Mus musculus: one gene and its partner. The protein of the gene in region 1 interacts with the protein of each later gene in a biochemical or structural test. Links are inferred from orthologs where the notes say so. Each region holds a gene or a part of one and is shown in the gene's direction. Other genes may lie near its edges. The genes, in order: Pstpip1 and Ptpn18.

Region 1 (6,905 bases):
GAGGCCATCATGGACCGTGTCCAGAAGAGCAAGTTGTCGCTCTACAAGAAGACCATGGAGGTAAACGGGAGGGCCTTGGAAGTCCCTCTGAGAGTCCTGGGTTGGACTTCTGGGACAGGCTTGCCTCAGACCTTTCTTCATTATATGTATCGGCCTGTTGGGGGCTGTGCTCGAGGCCCAGGACCTATTTATCATCACAAGCCCCTCAGTGCCTTGCCTGAAGAACAGAGGGACAGTCCCACACGCAGGAGTCCATGAGTGATCCAGTCATCTGAGGAGCCCAGAGTAGCAGGGATATGGGACACATGAGAGGGCAGGGCAGTATAGAAGACAGGGCCGAGTCGAGTCTCCATGGGAACGTGCTTCAGCCTCTGCATCTCTGTCCCTGGGAGTGATGCCAATTCTACCAAAGTCCCCACCCCCGGGAAGGGAGTCTGGGCTTAGGGAGCCTCCCACACTGGGGCATGCAGCCCTGCAGACACGCCTCTCCACACCTTCAGTCCAAGAAGGCATATGACCAGAAGTGCAGGGATGCAGATGATGCTGAGCAGGCCTTCGAGCGTGTGAGTGCCAATGGCCACCAGAAGCAAGTAGAAAAGGTGTGTATAGTGTGGGGGTGAGGGTGGGAGGGGAGGCCCTTAAACATAGTACCTGTTACAGACCAGAGCTGAGACTGAGAGGGCAGAGGGCTGTGGGTGAGTTGAATCCAGGCTGACCATAGTCCAGGTTCTGCGCAGCGATGCAGAAGAGGACACATAGCATCTACATTCTCTGTGTTTCCTGGTGGTCTGCAGGCTTCTGCTTTTATTTCCCCCTTGTGGAACCGGCCTGAGCCCCTCAGCAGTAAGGCTGCTGGTGAATGATAGAATTCACCCATCCATACTCTGATTCCGGATGGTGGCCAGGGAGGGTGCCAGTCACTTCTGAGTAGCTCTGAGGCTAGGATTCCTGGGCTTGGACTCAGTGTCCCTCTCCTGTCTCCTCAGAGCCAGAACAAAGCCAAGCAGTGCAAGGAGTCAGCCACAGAGGCAGGTACGTAGCCCTGGCCACCTTCCCAGACTGTCTGGCAGCCTAGCCGGTCCTCTTCCTCCAGACGGTGCTGTCCCACCTGCTAGCACTGTCCACTGTGTGCCTCTCCAGGCGTGCTCTCCAGAGACCATTCCTCCTTAGCCACTGCACACAGCCATAACATAAGGAACCGGGCACCCAAAGCACGTAGATAAGCTACCCAATGTCACACAGCTGCTAAGTGGTGCTGACAGCATTTGAATCTAAGCCACTGGGTTTCAGAGCCTCAGATCCACAGGGCCACATCCCTTCATCTAGCTCAAAATGACAAACGCTCACACTCAGCCTTCCTGGCTCCTGTCCTTTGCCTGATGCCAGCATTTGGCCACCCCCCCCATCCTCCCATCCCAGGATGGCATCCTTCTTCCCTCTGTTCCACCTCTCCAACATCTGCTCCTCCCTCAGCAGGTGCCACAAGACCAAGTCATAACTTCAGCTTGCTATCTTGTAGCACAACAGCTTATAGAGGTGCCCTCCTTGAGTCTCAGTTTACCATCTGTAAAGTGGAGTAACACCTCTGCATATTGAGTTCTGCTCCAGCCCCTGGAGCTCACAGCATAGTGGGGAAGTGGGAAGGGCGGTGCGGTGGCTGTGTGTGGTGACCAACAGCTAGCCAGGCCCCCGGGGAGGGGACTCCCGGGACTTGGGGAGGTTGTGCTGGGTGGGTCTCTGGAGGAGTGAAGGACAGAGGACGGAACTGTCTTGGAAACTGTTAGAGGAGATCCAGGCTACCAGGCCTGCCGAAGGCTCCCCTGTGTTTGTAGAAAGAGTGTACAGGCAAAATATCGAACAACTGGAGAGAGCGAGGACCGAGTGGGAGCAGGAGCACCGGACTACCTGTGAGGCAAGTGGCCCAGCAAGCAGCCTGCTCCTCCACAAGCTCCTCCTACCTGTGGCGGGGCGCGGGGGAGCACGGGGCTGGAGCTGGGGCTGGGGAGACACTCCCTCATTCCACTTGACACCTGCTGGGTCTCTCCCCATACTATCTGGCCTTATGCCCTGGATCCCTTTGTTCCACCCTGGGACCTACTGATGGTCAAGACCAGGGCAGAGTCCTGTACCTTTCACGAGCTTCCCCCAGCCTCCATTCTAGGACAGGGACCGATGGAGATGCAAACAGGCATTCCTAACAGTCTAGCCTCCTTCCAGCCGCTCTGGGTGGGGATCTTCTGGGCTGCCTTTGCTTTAGACTTGGCTGCAGCAGGGTGCTCTGCACTGGTCACCTAGCTGAGCGGTGGTGGTGGGCTGCCAGGCCTGGCCCCATAGTTAGTTCTCTCCCTTTTCTCCTCACTAGGCCTTCCAGTTGCAGGAGTTTGACCGGCTCACCATCCTCCGCAATGCCCTGTGGGTGCACTGTAACCAGCTCTCCATGCAGTGTGTCAAGGATGATGAGGTGTGTGCTGAGGGGAGGGAGGGCAGCATGGCAAGCTCAGTGTCCCCCACCTCTGCACTTCACACAGAGCAGTCTGACATGGCCTCTGGCCTGGCCTCCAGCATGGGAACAGCGCGCTTCTCTGGTCCCCCGCCTCTGCCTTTTCCTCCTACGTCCCTTCAGGGCTGTGTCCATCTATTCTCCCCAACACAGCAGAGACTTGCTGGGGGTGGAGGGGCTTTGCTCCAGGCTCTCTTACACCCCTCCCTCACCCCCCTCCCTCTCTCAGGGATGGCCAGGGTACTTCTTCCTCCCTCTCTCGCCTTATAAAATCCAATACTCAGGGATGGCCATAGTGCATCATACCCCAGGTTAGGGGGGGCTACCACCTACAGCAGGAGCTCTGGTTCTGGGTGCTTTAGGGGCACCTCTGACCCCTCCTGCCCTTGGCTAGTTGATCCTGGTGGCTTTCTCGTGTCAGCAGAAAGTGTGGTCTCTAGATATTCCCATGCCCAAAGCCCAGCTTTACCAAGATAGCAGGTCACTTTCCTGTGTTTCTTCATCTGAAGGCAGGTTAAAGTGTGGACCTCGGAGGACAGGAGTGAGCCGAGGCCTCTCCTCAGTCCCTCTGGCTCAGAGTCAGTGGCAGGACTATAGTAAGGCTGGGAGTCAGGCTGACATTGGGGCGAAGCCTGAACACAGCCTTTGCTCACCCCTACCCCCAGCTCTATGAGGAAGTGCGGCTGACCCTTGAGGGCTGTGATGTGGAAGGTGACATCAATGGCTTCATCCAGTCCAAGAGCACTGGCAGAGAGCCCCCAGGTAAGGCCCTGCCTGAGGGCAGCTTAGTGTCCACAGCCAGGTCTGGCTAGCTCTACACCAGGCCAGGCTCGGGTGGTTCACACTTCCCTACTGGATGGAGGTAGACCAGGCCCAGGCTGGGGCACAGGGTAGTTCTACTCTTCTGGAGAACCCATTCAGTTCCCAGCACCCACACCAGGCACCTAACACCTCTGGCTTCCACATGAATACACACACATCTATACATAATTAAAATTAATAAAACAAAATCTTTTTTTTTTTTTTTTTTTTTTTTTTTGGTTTTTCGAGACAGGGTTTCTCTGTGTGTAGCCCTGGCTGTCCTGGCACTCACTTTGTAGACCAAGCTGGCCTCGAACTCAGAAATCCGCCTGCCTCTGCCTCCCGAGTGCTGGGATTAAAGGCGTGCGCCACCACGCCCGGCTAAAACAAAATCTTTAAAAAAAAAAAAAGCCAGGCACAGTGTTCCATGCCTTTAATCCCTGCATGGGGTGGCAGAGGCAGGTGGTCCTCTGAACGAGGTCCTCGCTGCTCTTGGCCTCATGCATTTGCTCTCTGCAGCTCCGGTGCCTTATCAGAACTACTATGACAGGGAGGTGACCCCACTGATTGGCAGCCCTAGCGTCCAGCCCTCCTGTGGTGTGATAAAGAGGTGAGCACCCGATGAACTGCATATGATCAGGACACAGCCGCGGGGTCAGCCTGACTTCCACATCTCATGGCTGAACAGCTCCTGTGGGTCTGGTACCCTGTTCAGAAGCTGGCCATCCCATTGAGATAGTCCAGGATCAAACTACCGTCAGAGCGCCCCGGGTCCAAGAGCATCCAAGTACTAATTACTCACACTCCAGTTATTCACCAACGGCTATGCGGAGAGTCCCGGGCAAGTGCCCACTCTGGCTTCCTTGTCTGTCTGGCCCTACTGAGAGGCAGGGTAGTGTCTTAACTGAGAGGTAGCACGGGTGACTTCCAGGTGGCTTATGAATGGCCCAAAGCCCAGACATTTGGATTCACCAGGCTTTTAGAGGGCCATCTCCCTGGCCTGGCTGTAGTCAGGTGCCAAGGCCCTAGTTCTGTGTCCTGTGGGTGACCTGGCCTAGTCATTGCGCAGCCAAGGAAAAGACGACTTGCTTGGCCCACACTGGCTGGGCCTGGCAAGATATGTGGGAGCTGAACTTTAAAGGTAGCTTCCTCCTCCCCACAGAGCCTGGGGCTGGGGATCTGGTGGGGATGGGGCCCTGCTGGCTGCAGGTGCGGAGATGACCAGGAGAGTGACCATGGGAGGAGAGGATGCTGAGAACGAAGGGACTATCAGGAATGGCTGTGGGGAGGCCTGCTGCCATGGAGGCCTGTGGTGGTAGCAGGTTGGCAGAGGTCCTGAAGCGCTGAGAATTCCCAATTATCCCCTTTGCTTCCAGTGAGGTAAGGCAAGGCCTACCCCTCTTCTCTCCTCCCTACCACCAGGTTCTCTGGGCTGCTACATGGAAGTCCCAAGACCACACCTTCTGCTCCTGCTGGTAAATAAGGGGGAAGGGCTAATGGGAGAGGGGACATGTCTCCCACCAGTGGGGATGAGAGGACTCCTGTATAGCATTGATGGAACACTAATGTCCCAGAGGGAAAAGGTATTCTGTCCAAGAGTGTGGATGGTGTAGGATTAAGCCCCACCCCAGCAGTCTCAGATTCGGGCCTCATCCTGCTCTCAGCTTCCACAGAGACTCTGACTCCCACCCCTGAGCGGAATGAGTTGGTCTACGCATCCATCGAAGTGCAGGCGACCCAGGGAAACCTTAACTCATCAGCCCAGGACTACCGGGCACTCTACGACTACACCGCACAGGTGAGGGCTTCCCCTTGTGCCTGGGAGCACGCCTGGGGCGTGAGCACTTACATAGCACCAGAGACTGGAATAGTTCAGTGGACATCTGCTGGACCAGGATCTGCTGTGGATAGATCAGGCCTTGTGCACAATGACCAAAAATGAGTCCTTGAGCTGCCCTGGAACTATTTCCTGACATCCTTGGAGAAAGGTGGGCAGGGCACCCACAGAGCATCTGTGCTTGAGATGGACTGAAGTCCAACACAAGCCCTGGGCTTAAGGGGGTAGGGGTAGACCTGGAAGGCAGGCCCTGAACTTGGGCTAATACACCCACACATATAGGCAGACATGTAGGCAAGCTAGATGGGGCTGTACTGAGGTCACATTCAGGGGTACAGACCTGGACAGTAACAGGGTACTCAGGTAGCAGTAGATTGCTGTGTGATTTGTCTAGAGCTTGCCCTTACGTTGTGACAAGCACTTCTGAGGAGCTGCAGTGGTTGGAGCAGTGAGAGAAGTCCAGGATGGGAGGTCTCCATGACAACCTGAGCTTGTTAGGAGGCCAAGTGCCTTTGGGGAAACCCCACAGCCTGTCTATCTGCAAAGGAACCACTCTGGAGGCCTTAGCATGACTCAGCAGACTGCTTGCCCTGGGAGACAAACATGCACTGCCAAAGTGGGGGCCGCAGAGCACAGCACCCCGTCCTGGTGGCTCCTCCCATCTCACACACTTGCCATTTCTTGCCCAGAATTCTGATGAGCTGGACATTTCCGCGGGAGACATCCTGGCGGTCATCCTGGAAGGGGAGGATGGCTGGTGGACTGTGGAGCGGAACGGACAACGTGGCTTTGTCCCTGGGTCGTACTTGGAGAAGCTCTGAGGAAAGGCTAGCAGTCTCCACATACCTCCGCCCTGACTGTGAGGTCAGGACTGTTTCTTTCCATCACCGCCCAGGCCTCACGGGGCCAGAACCAAGCCCGGTGGTGCTGGGAATGGGCTGGGTGCTGGCTACTCTCAATAAATGTCTCCCAGAAGGAGTAAAGCGGCACATTCTTCCTTTGCTGGGGTCCTTTTCTCTTACCCAGTGTCCAGGGCCTCGATCCAGAGAGCCAGAGTATACAGAGGCTGGGAGAACAGAGCTCTGCCACTAACAGGAGCAGTCAGGCCCAGTCTCAGCCAGGGACAGAGGAGAGGCCTCGACCCAGGTGCCCGAAGCTCCCAGGCTGCCAGAGCTACATTCATACTTGGGACAGCCAGGAAGATGCAAGTGAGAGGGGCTCAGGAGGGCCACAATGAGATGAGGCATCCTGTGACAGGGAAGTGGGGCACAGAAGGATGTGGAGAGGCGGCAGCAGCCACGTTTGCCAGAAGGCAAATGTCTGAGCATACATAAGAACATAGGGGATAAGAAGACTGCTGGGGACGAGAAAGTGCTGGTGGCTCTGGAGGCGGCACACAGCCCTCAGTGTTCCTCCTTGACACGACCCCGTCATGTCTGTGCCTACCTCACAGGAACCAGCTGTGGGCCCGTGGCTTCCCTGCCTGCCCACCTGGAAGCCAGCAATAGAGGCCTAACCATGTACCAGGCAAATGTCAGCAGCCAGAGGTGAAACTGTGAGCAAGTATGGTCTAGAGAGGGGGGAGGAGGGGGTTGCTGCAAGGCTCCTCCATGTTCATCACCAATGCATCTCCATTCTCTGATCCTCACCGGAGCAGAAAGGCAGGCTTGGCTAAGCAACCATGCAGATTGACAAGGCTGGGCCGCCTTTGGGTTGTGCTCTCTTATCCATCTCAGACATGAGGGCACTTTACAGGCTGGGTCCAGG
Region 2 (5,674 bases), on another chromosome or scaffold:
GTATTTATGTTATACTCTGCAGCTGGCCTCCACAAGTGGCTCTGAAGGTGACTTCCCCATTCACTCCTTGCCTTCCTCACCTTACTTTGCAGAGGAAGTGTGAACGCTACTGGGCCCGGGAGCAGGAGCCTCTAAAGGCTGGGCCTTTCTGCATCACCCTGGTAAGTTGGAGCAGGGCTGGGAACAGAGGTGGCTTCTGCAGGCCTTGGGTAGTGTGGGAGATCTCAAGGAAGACATAGGGAGTGAGAAGCCTTGGCTAGGCTTGGAAAGGTGAACCATTTTCTCATAACTCACACAGTGAAAAACTCAGAATGCATGTAGGGTACGTGCGGTTCCCTGGCCCTAGCAGTGTTAACTATGATTACAGTTACTGCGGTAACCAAAATGGACCTGTTCCCGTTTCTGCAATTCCTGTTTTACAGTGTTCTTTATTGGAGGAAATCCCTCCACATACAGGTACTTGGCCATTAACAAATGCAAGGAGACCATTGTGTTGCAGAACAATAGGACTCTCTTATGCTCACTGTAAAAGGATTAGTGTGTTTTGTATACTCATTCCTCTTTCCCAGTTCTGACAATAGCTTCCTTGAATGCATTGGGAGAAATTTGGGCCAAAAGAAAATTTAAAAATATCATCAGTATAGAAATTTATTTGAATTAAAAATATATGGCTACATTTACAGTAGCATAGTACCTAATGGATATATCATCATTGGTTGTGAAACCATTTAAAAAAATTCTTTTGAGGTTAAAAAAAAACCCATAATAAGAATGAAAAAGGGGGGCTGGTGAGATGGCTCAGTGGGTAAGAGCACCCGACTGCTCTTCCGAAGGTCAGGAGTTCAAATCCCAGCAACCACACATGGTGGCTCACAACCATCCATAACGAGATCTGATGCCCTCTTCTGGAGTGTCTGAAGACAGCTACAGTGTACTTACATATAATAAATAAATAAACCTTTAAAAAAAAAAAAGAATGAAAAAGGAAGCAAAAATATAATAAAACATAAATATAAAAATATAAATATAAAACTTTTATAAAATGTAATTCCCGAGGAATGGGAATCAGACACACAAGCTTGTCCACCAGAGTCTGACCTGTAGGACGTGCCCAGCAAGGTCTCCAGTCTCAACCACTGGCTAAGCCAGGAATCCTGGGAATGCAAGACGGCACCGCAGGCCTAAGAGTTTTAAAAATGTTTTTAGTGTTTGATTTTCAATTAAGAATGCTTTACTGGGGCTGGTGAGATGGCTCAGCGGTTAAGAGTGCCGACTGCTCTTCCAAAGGTCCTGAGTTCAAATCCCAGAAACCACATGGTGGTTCACAACCACCCGTAATGAAATCTGATGCTCTCTTCTGGAGTGTCTGAAGACAGCTACAGTGTACTTACATATAGTAAATAAATAAATATTAAAAAAAATGCTTTACTTTCATCAGGCAAGATAGTGCACGCCTGCCATCCCAGCACATGAAAGGCGGATCCCGAAGAGGATCTCTGGTTTGAGGCCAGTCTGCGCTCTACAGCAAGGCTTGTCTCCAAAGCAAAACCAAACCTTTGCTTTCTAGAAATGTGAAGTGTGTTATTAAGATCTCTATTTCTCTTCTGTTTCCTCTGTCCCCTTCTCACATGGCGCATAGACAAAGGAGACAACACTGAATGCAGACATCACTCTCAGGACCCTCCAGGTTACATTCCAGAAGGTACCAAAACGTTAAAAGGTGAAGGGACTCTTGCATGGGACGAGCTGTCTCTTCTCCTGTAAATGGAAACTCATGATTCCAGTCCGTTCCTGTCACCCTCAGTTAGCACACAATGGACTTGCTTGTCTCTATGGTGCTGAGGGTGGAGCCCACAGCCTTGTGCATGCTATGCAAATCCTCTTAGTCTCCTTCCTTATCTGGTGGATTTAAATGGAATAAGCTTAGAACTATAGTAGGTGATCAATAAACATGTTTTTTTTCTTTTTTTCTTTTTTCCACTCTCTGTTCCCGTCTCAGGAATTCCGCTCTGTGCACCAGCTACAGTATATGTCCTGGCCAGACCACGGGGTTCCCAGCAGTTCTGATCACATTCTCACCATGGTGGAGGAGGCCCGCTGCCTCCAAGGGCTTGGACCTGGACCCCTCTGTGTCCACTGCAGGTTTAGGAAATTTGTTTTATGAGGATCTGGTGAGGCAGAAGGGAGAGAATGAGACAGAAAAGCAAGGGAGAACAGTTGTGGCTAGGAGCCAGCCCTCCCTCCCTCCCTCCCTCCCTCCCTCCCTCCCTCCCTCCCTCTTTCTTTCTTCCTCTCTTGTTCTTTCTTTTTATTAAAGATTTATTTATTATATGTAAGTACACTGTAACTGTCTTCAGACACTTTTTCTTCTCTCTCTGCCCCTCTTGCTCTAGCCCAAACCCTCCTTGCCCCACTTGCTCTGGCCCCAAGCATAAGTACACTGTAGCTGTCTTCGGATATCCCAGAAGAGGGCATCAGATCTCATTATGGATGGTTGCGAGCCACCATGTGGTTGTGGGATTTGAACTCATGACCTTCGGAAGAGCAGTCAGTTAACCGCTGAGCCATCTCGCCAGCCCCAGCCTTCCTTTTCCAGTGGTATTTCTTGAGAAGCCTCTGGCCACATGTTCATGATACAATGAGCTGGAATTGCTAGCTGGAATAGACTGCCTGCTGGAGAGTAAGCATAGAACTGATTGTTCACAAGTCTAAGTGAATAAAAAAGGTTTTCCTGTGCCGAAGAAGTGCCTCAGTGGGCAAAGTCCTTGTTGTACACATTCTTGAGTTCAGCTCTTCATTACCCAGTCAAACCCAGGGCAGGTGGCTTGCCCCCTGTAACCCCAGTGCTGGGTGCTGGGTAGAGACAAGTGAACCCATTGAGGGGTTGCCAGTCAGTCAGGCAAGCAAATCTGTGAGCAGCCTGTTTAGTAAGAGATCCTTTCTTAAATTTAATATTGACCTTTGGTCTCCACACTGTCAACACACACACACACACACACACACAAAATGGGTGCATACTAATGTACAAAAAACCCCAAAAGGTTTTATTTAAAGTTTTAATCTAGGGATCCTGCAATTTAAGAGGTACTGATCTCCTTCAGGTCAGCTCAGAAGGGGTTGTGGTGTCTGTACAGTTAGGCAGTCCTGACATCCCAGCACTTAGGAAGCTGAAGTCAGAGGCTAGCCTGGGCAACCTAGCACAAGACCTGTGGGAAAAGGAGGAGGAACAGAATGGGGAAAGGGGCATTGTGGGTAGGCTATGATGGTGTCTGCTCTGATTCACGATTGTCAGTGCTGGCTGCGGACGAACAGGTGTCCTGTGCGCTGTTGACTATGTGAGGCAGTTGCTGCTGACCCAGGTATGACGTCCTCTGCTCTGTGTGCAGTATGTCCCATGTCTGCCTACCAGGGTCTGGTCACACTTCCCCTCTCTATCCCAGACAATCCCTCCCAACTTCAGTCTCTTCCAAGTGGTCCTGGAGATGCGGAAACAGCGGCCTGCAGCAGTGCAGACAGAGGTATGTGCTTGCCCCGTCTTCCTGTTCCTAAGGACGAGGGAGGTTTGCTTAGCTTCCCAATCTCCCCTTCTCAATGACCACTCACCCCAACAGGAGCAGTACAGGTTCCTGTACCACACAGTGGCTCAGCTATTCTCCCGCACTCTCCAGGACACCAGCCCCCACTACCAGAACCTCAAGGAGGTACAGAGCCCCCAATTTCACCCTTTCTGCCAGCCATCAACACCTATACCCTTCTTGGGAACAGCAACCGACTTACTGTGAAAGGCACCTTTGCCTCCTCAGAGCTCCTTCCCCAGGCTGTTCCCTAAGCTCACCTAGGCACCCACAGTGACCTGCAGCAGGGCTATGGCCTCAGGACCGACCCTGCCTGCTTCCCTGCAGAACTGCGCTCCAATCTGCAAGGAAGCCTTCTCCCTCAGGACCTCCTCAGCCCTGCCTGCCACATCCCGGCCACCAGGAGGGGTTCTCAGGTACTGGGCTCACTCTGTCCCTGGAAAATCAACCTCTACAGTCTGGGTTAGCTTTTCCCTTGGTCTTCCAGAAGGTAATTAATTAGGCAAGTACATTTTTAAAGAATTTCAATCTCTCTCTCTCTCTCTCTCTCTCTCTCTCTCTCCCTCTCTCTCTCTCTCTCTCTCTCTCTCTCTCTGTGTGTGTGTGTGTGTGTGAGAGAGAAAGAGTATGTGAGTCCTTACCTTCCACGTGTTTTGAGAAACAGTCTCACTGTGTACATCAGAGCTTCTGGGGACTCACCTGTCTCTGTCTCATTGTAGGAGGGTTGGGGTCTCACACACTCTACCACATGCGTCCTCCCTAGTCCCACTTGCCAATCTGGCCCTGTCCCTCCTGCTGTGGGGATTCTAGGGACACGGAACCTCTACTTTCTGCCCTCAGGTGGCCCGCCCCTTCCCTCCTTTCCTGCTCTGAAGACTGGGGCAGGCAGGAAGGAAGCCCGTAGCCTGGGCTGAGCTTGCTCCCCCCCCCCCGCCCCCCTCCCTTGTGCTAAGCGCTTTCACTTCCTCTGCTTGTTGCCCGCTGCAGGAGCATCTCGGTGCCTGCGCCCCCGACCCTCCCCATGGCTGACACTTACGCTGTGGTGCAGAAGCGTGGCGCTTCGGCGGGCACAGGGCCGGGGCCGCGGGCGCCCACCAGCACGGACACCCCGATCTACAGCCAGGTGGCTCCACGTGCCCAGCGACCGGTGGCACACACGGAGGACGCACAGGGGACAACGGCACTGCGCCGAGGTGAGTTGAGGCCCTCCGGGGGTGTGGAGCTGAGGACAAGTACCTATTAGCAACTTTCCCGCTCTCCTAAGGCTCCCGAGGGTCTAAGCGCTGCTCGGAGGTCAGCCCCAGATCCAGCATGGCCACGCCCCTAGGCTACTAAACGTCGGGGTTCAAGCCCCAAAATGAGCCCCAGGTCAGGTCTCAATTGGGAGACTGGGCTGTCTAACCCAAGGCCCCAAAGACAGACCTCCGAACTTGGACACGCCCATGGACACGCCTCCTACCGCTACCTCGGGAAGGGAAATCGGTAGCTATGCTGCTCTAGAGTCCCTGGAACTCTTAAAAGCAGCTTGAGCTGACCCATAGGGGTTCTCCTGCCCTCAGTTCCTGCGGACCAAAACTCTTCCGGGCCTGATGCCTACGAAGAAGTAACAGATGGAGCACAGACTGGAGGGCTAGGTAAGTCAGAGCCTAGGGTGCAGCTTTGGAGAGCCCCAGGACTTCGGGAGTTCGGGCTGGGGCACTGGACTCAGGTTCTCCTTCATATACCTGGATCTGGAGCGGTGTGGGTTTGGAGGAGGTTACCCTGTCACTCCTTAGCTTCTGCATGGAGCCCTTCTTCCCTTAGGCTTCAACTTGCGCATCGGAAGGCCCAAAGGGCCCCGGGATCCTCCAGCAGAGTGGACACGGGTGTAACGAGTGCTGTGCCAGTTATAGCCTGCCACTCGGTGGTGGCTGGACTCCTGGAACCACCATACTGCTGTGCAGTGTGTTATGTATGAGTGGGACTTGTGGGCCTGATTCAAAATAAAAGTTTCTCAGGGCAGAAAAAAATAGGGGCTTTGTTCCAGTGATTCTAGCAGTCAAAGACTGGGGCTAAGAGAGGTAAGTGGGGGAGGTGGTGGATCTATTCTGAGACAATTT

Evidence for each region.
Region 2: the proteins of Pstpip1 (region 1) and Ptpn18 form a complex in vitro, tested with the Homo sapiens proteins (2 studies listed by BioGRID and IntAct). The link is inferred for Mus musculus from reciprocal best matches to the Homo sapiens genes PSTPIP1 and PTPN18.

The regions. Positions count from the first base shown.
Region 1 is NC_000075.6:56,122,762-56,129,666, forward strand, and holds the end of Pstpip1 (proline-serine-threonine phosphatase-interacting protein 1), read left to right. Parts: coding exon 1-60; intron 61-500; coding exon 501-599; intron 600-986; coding exon 987-1,032; intron 1,033-1,832; coding exon 1,833-1,912; intron 1,913-2,362; coding exon 2,363-2,461; intron 2,462-3,165; coding exon 3,166-3,262; intron 3,263-3,820; coding exon 3,821-3,911; intron 3,912-4,723; coding exon 4,724-4,776; intron 4,777-4,965; coding exon 4,966-5,099; intron 5,100-5,827; coding exon 5,828-5,959; 3' UTR 5,960-6,129; downstream 6,130-6,905. UniProt on the Homo sapiens protein: Involved in regulation of the actin cytoskeleton. May regulate WAS actin-bundling activity. Bridges the interaction between ABL1 and PTPN18 leading to ABL1 dephosphorylation.
Region 2 is NC_000067.6:34,468,201-34,473,874, forward strand, and holds the end of Ptpn18 (tyrosine-protein phosphatase non-receptor type 18), read left to right. Parts: intron 1-92; coding exon 93-161; intron 162-1,639; coding exon 1,640-1,702; intron 1,703-1,999; coding exon 2,000-2,142; intron 2,143-3,292; coding exon 3,293-3,359; intron 3,360-3,440; coding exon 3,441-3,518; intron 3,519-3,611; coding exon 3,612-3,701; intron 3,702-3,902; coding exon 3,903-3,991; intron 3,992-4,562; coding exon 4,563-4,768; intron 4,769-5,134; coding exon 5,135-5,209; intron 5,210-5,378; coding exon 5,379-5,446; 3' UTR 5,447-5,584; downstream 5,585-5,674. UniProt on the Homo sapiens protein: Differentially dephosphorylate autophosphorylated tyrosine kinases which are known to be overexpressed in tumor tissues.